Schizosaccharomyces pombe: one gene and its partner. Changing the gene in region 2 together with the main gene of any one other region gives a genetic interaction. Each region holds a gene or a part of one and is shown on either strand. Other genes may lie near its edges.

What was found. A genetic interaction does not mean that the proteins touch.
Region 1: of alp13 (region 2) and hat1, changing one enhances a phenotype caused by changing the other (phenotypic enhancement), as found in Schizosaccharomyces pombe (2 studies listed by BioGRID, with this or other methods).

Annotation. Positions count from the first base shown.
Region 1 is NC_003424.3:1,028,371-1,032,125, forward strand, and holds hat1 (histone acetyltransferase Hat1), read left to right. Parts: upstream 1-1,849; 5' UTR 1,850-1,859; coding exon 1,860-1,917; exon of another isoform or gene 1,918-1,967; coding exon 1,968-2,071; exon of another isoform or gene 2,072-2,132; coding exon 2,133-2,351; intron 2,352-2,440; coding exon 2,441-2,556; intron 2,557-2,627; coding exon 2,628-2,991; intron 2,992-3,047; coding exon 3,048-3,323; 3' UTR 3,324-3,571; downstream 3,572-3,755. Other genes in the region: ssd2 (succinate-semialdehyde dehydrogenase), read left to right, coding at 1-1,427. UniProt on the Schizosaccharomyces pombe protein: Catalytic component of the histone acetylase B (HAT-B) complex. Acetylates 'Lys-12' of histone H4 which is required for telomeric silencing. Has intrinsic substrate specificity that modifies lysine in recognition sequence GXGKXG.
Region 2 is NC_003424.3:1,586,823-1,590,577, forward strand, and holds alp13 (Clr6 histone deacetylase complex, chromodomain subunit Alp13/Eaf3), read right to left. Parts: upstream 1,756-3,755; 5' UTR 1,730-1,755; coding exon 801-1,729; intron 752-800; coding exon 667-751; 3' UTR 506-666; downstream 1-505. Other genes in the region: SPOM_SPAC23H4.13C (uncharacterized protein), read left to right, coding at 1-41, 122-505; centromere localized protein Cnl2, read left to right, coding at 2,133-2,569, 2,641-2,770; thi4 (bifunctional thiamine-phosphate dipyrophosphorylase/hydroxyethylthiazole kinase), read left to right, coding at 3,278-3,755.

The sequences.
Region 1 (3,755 bases), 560 kb from region 2:
AATCTTTTGTTCAAGGAAAATGGATTTCTTCTCCTAACAACAAAACTTTTGAGGTTGATAACCCAGCTACTGGTGAAATAATCGGTAAAGTGGCCGATGTCTCAGTAGAGGAAACAAAAAAAGCCATCAGTGCCGCTAACGAGGCCTTCAAAACTTATAAAAATTTTACTCATGTCCAACGTAGTCAGTTATTGGAACGCTGGGCAGAGCTTATTATGGAGAACAAAGACGACTTGGTCAAGATGCTTACCTTAGAAAACGGCAAGCCTTTGAGCCAAGCTGAGATGGAGGTCACCACATGTAGCGGATATCTTAAATGGTATGCTGCTGAAGCCGTTCGTACCTTTGGCGATGTAGCTCCTTCCAGCTTACAAAGTCAAAACTTTCTCATCTCCATCAAACAGCCAGTTGGTGTCAGTGCCTTGATTACTCCTTGGAACTTCCCCGCCGCCATGATTGCTCGTAAAGGTGGTGCCGCTTTGGCTGCTGGTTGTACCGCTATTTTCTTGCCTGCTTTCCGCACTCCCTACGTTTGCTTAGGTTTAGTCAGGTTGGCGCAAGAGGCCGGTTTCCCTGACGGTGTCTTAAATGTGATCACTTCTTCTGATGCATCTGCTCATGGTAAAGAACTGACTACCAACCCTATCGTTCGTAAGGTTTCCTTCACTGGTAGTACTAATGTCGGTAAAATTCTTATGGGACAAAGTGCCAGCACAATCAAGAAGGTTTCAATGGAGTTAGGAGGTAATGCCCCTTTCATTGTATTCCCTGACTTCCCCATTGATCAGGCTGTCGAATCTTTCTGCACTATCAAGTTTAACTCTTGTGGTCAAGTTTGTGTCTGCCCTAACAGAGTTTACGTTCACAAGAATGTTTACGACGAATTCGTCAGCAAGCTTACCGAAAAAGTCAAGACCATTAAAGTAGGAGATGGATTTGACTCTTCTTCTGCTGTTGGCCCTTTGATTTCTCAAGATGGATGCAAAAAGGTCAGCAAGCACATTGAAGATGCTGTTTCAAAGGGTGCCAAAATCACTGTTGGTGGAAAGGAGATTTCCTCAAGCAAAGGTTATTTTTTTGAACCAACCGTGCTCTCCGGTGTAACTCAAGACATGTTGGTTGCTAGCGAGGAAACATTCGGCCCACTCGCCTCTGTCTTCAAGTTCGACGACACCGAAGAGGTGATCGAATGGGCTAACGACAGTGATGTTGGCTTGGCCGGTTACGTCTTTACCAATAACTTGTCCACAATGATCCACGTTGCCAAAGAACTAGAGGTGGGTCTTGTAGGTGCCAATATCGAAATGGTTGACGAACCATTTATTTCCTTTGGCGGCATCAAACAGAGCGGTTTTGGCAAGGAAGCCGGTCGTTTGGGCGTTCAAGAATTTATGGTGGTTAAGGAAATCAATCTCAAGACTCTTTAAGGATTTTCGCTTTAGAAAGCTGCATATTATTGAACAAGCAATGATGTCCTCTTTTGGTTAATGACTAAAAAATCCTGATGTTATGACTGTTTTACATGTTTGCGATACAAATCGTATTTTAGTTTAATGATATCAAAAAAATTTAATACCTGAACATCGTGGGTCATCGATGAAGAATGGATTGTTGTGTCAGAAAATCTATACTTGTAGTTATTGTTCTGAGCAATCTGAAAAGTTATAAAGAATTGTAGGTTCTAAAATTGGCAATACTGGAGCTAGAAATCTATATAATAGTAAATATTTTTTAATAATAACAGGTGTAGCACGTGAAATTTTGCGTCGCCTTGTAGTTTGTTACTTCCAACTAGACACATGTATTTTTTGTTGTTTGACTTGAAATAGGGTCAGGTATTCAATTTTCCGTATGCAGTGATGAGTGCTGTTGATGAATGGGTACATAATGCCAATGAATGCATAGAAATTGTACAAGGTATGCTATGTTAAATTATAATGTTTTTACCTTGTGTTAACACCTGTCAGTAAACGAAAAGCATGAAAAAGATTGTCAATACCATCCTAGCAATACATATGCAATATTTGGAGATGCTGAGGTTATTTATGGATATAAAGATCTAAATGTCACTGTAAGATTAAATCAGCAAGTTTTAGTCATGAAATTTGATTGCAAATAGTAACAGTTATTAGATAACCTATGAATGCCCATTGATGGTCCCAAAACTGGAAATCTCATATTCAGAGCGCCTAGCACCAGATTCAGGAGTGGAACCAACTGATATTGAAGGAACATTAAACACTTATCTAAAAGATCGTTCCATTAAGGTTGAAGGAAACTCATTTGACGTTCATTCGGCAAATAGTATTCATAACTATTCCTTTAATGGAAAAACATTCAAGATTTTACAAGTATGTTCGATTACCTTTCAATTGGAGAAGTATTCAATTATTGAATATCCCTATATGTTCTTTGGCTAATAATCGTAATGTATTAATAGGCAACGGTTCTTGAAGCTAGTGAGATTATGCAGCATTTGCAAATATTTTCCTTATTTTTTATTGAAGGGGGCTCTTTTATTGACCTTAATGATCCAAGATGGATGGTATATTTACTGTAAGTTTGTTATTTTCTACGCGTCTACTTTCCTTTTACCTTTTTATCGAGGTTTTATTAACAAAAATAAGTTACGAGACTACTGAAGATGATTATTGCTTACGTGGTTATTGTACTGTATACAAATATTATAAATGGGACAAATTAATTCACGATGGTATTCGAGCTCGTATCTCACAATTCGTGATTTTACCCCCTTTTCAACATCAAGGACACGGTTCGCAATTGTACAATGCTATTGTTAGTACCTTTTTGAAAAATCCTAAAATTTTAGACTTCACAGTTGAGGATGCATCGGAAGCGTTTGATAGCCTTAGAGACCATTGCGACTATAAAAGATTATTATCAATGGGAATATTTTCAGAACCTGACTTTCATCCCTCTCTTTCTAGGCAGTGGATAAACTCGAAAATAGCTGAAACAAAGTTAACCCAGGTTCGTAATTTGCTAAATTTACCATGCAATGCAACTTACTAATTGTCTTTTTTTAGCGTCAATTCTCACGCTGTTGTGAATTAGCATTTACAACGAAACTAAAAAAGCTTTCATTATTGGAGCGGAAATCTGTTAGACTAGGAATAAAGGAAAGGATTTTTCGTCAAAATCTTGATGTGTTGCTACAGTTGGATAAGTCCGAACGTATTGAAAAAATTCATAACGCCTATGAAAATCAGTTTGATGAGTATAAACAGATTGTCAAAAAGCTACCCAAGCTTAAGGAAGATTCGCCTCGAAAACGCCAAAAACTTGCTCAATCTTCTTCCTAAATGAAAACACTTTTAGAGATCTGAAATACTTTGAGAATATTGAAGGCATATTAGCATAAAAAGTTATGAGAATCGACTAAATTACACTATTGGACGCAATTACTTTTTATATAATTTGCTTTTGAAAGCTTTCGCTTGAAATGATTAAAGACATTTGAAACAGTGATCATTTTAATAATATAAATTTTGTATATATTTTGCAAATTTAGTGTGATATCTAGTTTAATAAAATCTATAAAGGCACCTTATAAAAATTCAAACAATTCCTCATAATGAACTGCTTTTTCCAAAATTTAAATATTTTAATATCTACTATCAATAATATTGGTTATTTTCAACGACCAGTACAACTTTAGGTGCTTGTCATTCTCATCCGTCCTCCTTCCTATTCCGATCCCGACTTTGTTCATTACCTGACACCCCGGATAAAGT
Region 2 (3,755 bases):
CTTTTTCTATCAGTGGTCTCTCGACTTTCGTTATTACAAAAGTAAGTACACATTCTTAGCAAGTTGTGGTTAGTTTTTATATTTACTGGTTCTTATTTACGTCCAACTCACCAAATTCTAGTATTACATACGTCCTCAATGGTTATACACATTGGCCCTTAGACGGGCACTCATAAAGCTTTATTACAATTTTATGGATGGATTCAATAAGCGGACTGATACATTACAACATCGGGTTGACGATAAAAAAATTTTAAAAACAATAGAAAAATGGAGTTGTATTAAAGAAAAATTGAGAAGAGTTGCCAATATAACTGAACAGGAGCAGCAGTGTATCCCGGCAGAAAGTTCGTTAGACCTGAGCATCCAGGCAATGAAAGGTGTCGTAAATGCAGAACTTTATCAGTTTGGAAGTCAAATTTCTGGATCTTTAGAATTTGATACTCCAATTGGCAATTTGCAGAAGCAAATTGTCTCTTTGAAGAGCAAAATGATTAATATCTGAATATTAAGGAACAACATAATAATTGCATGAATTCTCTGAATGCCTTATGTTGGTCCTACTGCATTCTATAGATAATAGTGTATTATATCTCAAAAAGAAAACGTATATATTTTAGATTACCGTTTTAGTTATCTTTGGGATAGATGCAAACGATCATAATTTTATACACCAACCAAAGATCTATAGTTTGGAGGGGCGTTTTGATATTCTTTAATAAAATATTCATCTTTATGTAGAACGAGATACCTAAATAAATGGTTAGTATAGTAGGGGAGTTTAAAAGCAGTAAACATACTTCAAGAATTCTTCAATGTAATTCAACAAACACTCGATGGATTGTGAATCCATATTAGTCCGGTCAATCAATTCAGGAAGGCTTACAAACAAGCGAATTAAATGTTCGACGCCATATAAATCACACATTTCAGTATCAGGATATTGCTGCCGAATTTCTAAATATTGCTGCCGTTCAAACCGATACAGCAGCATATTGCCCAAGCACTTATTAAAGTATATAACCAAACCAGCCATCGCTTGTTCAAAAACATCAACGTCTATTTCATTGTTCAAATGAGAAATCTTGGATTCTCGGAAGGCCGCTATAGCAGCCCGGACGGTGGGATTCCGCGGTATAGCTATTAACTGTTGATTTTTGGTAATGTTTTCCCAGTCATCAACAAGCCATAGCTTTAGAACGTCCGGGACACTAATCTTGTGTTTTGGAAGCGGTGGCTCTTCCTCAAAATCGTCTTTCTCGTTATTCTCGGGCTTAGTAGTTTCCTCGTTTTTAGCATCGGTTGTTCCATCGCGTTTCACTTGTTGAGGAATTGGAGACTCTGATTTTTGGGTTTTTATACGTGAAGGCAATTCATGTGAATCGCCATCAACCGTTACGGTGCTCGATTCTCGAGACCTCTTTCCTGATGTTTTAACTCCAGTTGAGTCATGTTTCGAAGTGCTGGATGCGGACTTTTTAGAAGTCGGTTTTTGTCTCGTAGAGATAGCGGCATTTTTTAACTCTTTCTGAGTCTTTAAATTTTCTTCTGTCCATTGTAGTATCCTATCTTGTTCAACCCATTCATCCCAACTGTTTTTCCATCCTTTATAATGAATCAGGTACGTGGTAACATCACCTTTCATTTCAGTATCAACAATTTTAGCCTCATAGAGTAACGGGCCGTGAAAGCATAGTACACGTTCATTCACCTTATATGACACGGCCATTCCAACAACGTTGTAGGTATGGTGGTGAGTTAGAAGTAAGAGGACGTGTGCCAAAACAGTACACTTAGCAAATTTATCCTACTTTGAAGGAGTTAGCTATTTTGTTTTAAAAATTATCTAGACCCATTAACAAACGGTGGGTGTAACAGGATACTATCTAAGCAACAAATTCATTCATCTGCAAAATGCTTGGAGAAAGTGCTATCAGTAAGTTACTGTTTTAGGATTTTTAATGATAAATTAAAAATAAACTTTCATTATGTTCAGCAAATACGTCCCAATACGCATTATAAAAAATGCTTTAGTCAAAAGGATACTTTAGGAAAAATTAGCTTTTCTACATGAGTTTTCATCAAATGCTGCGTTTCATTTATTCAATTTACTAATATCTCAAAGGTTGCTCATGAATATGGAGGAACAAATACTTAATGATTATCTTCTTTCTCAAGGGCGGTTGCAGTCTATTATAAGCTTAGAACAATGGCGGCAACTGTTTCCTCAGAGATACAGAGAAGACCCACTGATTGAGCGTTTATACGAATACTGTACACAACAAAGACAAAAGCGATTAGCAAAATTGAGAGCTAACATCCATCTCGAGAGTCAAGTTATCGGCAAAAGCAGAATAGATAGGATGTTGGCAACAAATGTTGAGAAACTGCAAACGGTCAGTCATGCCTCTACATTGCACGATGTAGAAGAATTTTACACATCACATAGTGCAAAACCGCTGGACATAAGTGAAATCAATGAGCGGCTTTCTGAAGCTGTGCAATCTGCTTATACAAAATTAAATGAGGAAAAAGAGCGCTGCACACAATTGACTCTTAAAATGAATAGGTATGAGGTTGATTAGGAATTTGGGTTGTTTTAATTGAGCTTTATTTAGCTTGCTAATAATTTCTTTCTAGTCAGATTGCATCCCTTAGCGATTTTCAATGGTCAAAAGAGCCAAACGTTGACGAGTCAATTCATCTTGTAGAATCTTTAATTGAAAGTTTAGAAAAGGCAGCACCTTCTGCAATAGAAGAATTAGACTAGGACCTTCAAACGTTAAGCTGTTCCATATTTATTCAATAATATAGCTTTAACGGGTATTTATTACAATGAATGAATTTTTTTTTCTTTTTAATAATTAAATATAACGTTATTCTGCACCTTTTTAATAAGATATATCTGTTCCTTTATAAACTCATTTCATTAAAACCTGTTCAAAGTAATGCGAATATATTTTCTTCAAAAGCATGCAGTATTTGTTCCATTTGACAAACTACATTTTAATAGAGTGATTAAAATCAGTTATCACTAACTTGTCGTAGCACGCATCCGAACCATGACTAACACAGTATAAAAGATGGAGCAAAATTTGCAAACATAGTTTGTAACACTTTCGCCAAATTCTTGATTAAATTAGGATAATATTCAATTTTCATTTTTCTTAGCATAGAAAGATTGAACTGTCAAATTTTTGGTGTCCGCAACATAATCTGGCATTTCTAGGATTTTGTTTACTTACTTGACTTCTATATAAGAACTTTTATACCAAACATGAAACGTCAAATTGACTATTCTTTATACCTTGTAACTAGCTCTAGTTTAATTGCCCCAGGTTCTACTATAGAACGTCAGGTGGAAGAGGGAATTTTGGGAGGTGTCACGCTTGTTCAGCACAGAGAAAAAGACATCTCTACTAAATGCTTTGTAGAACGTGCTAAACGACTTTCTGAAATTTGCAAAAAGTACGACGTGCCTTTTCTAATTAATGATAGGATTGACGTGGCATTAGCTGTTGGCGCTGACGGTGTTCATATTGGTCAAGACGACATGGATTGTGCATTAGCCAGAAAAATTCTTGGCGATGATGCTATTATTGGAGTGTCCACTAATAATATCGAGGAAATTGAAAAAGCAGCTGCTGATGGGGCCGATTATGTGGGTATCGGTTCTATTTACGAGACAAACACTAAAGATGTCAAAGACAGGTTAATAGGAATCACAGGTCTGCGAAAAATTCTTGAACATGTTT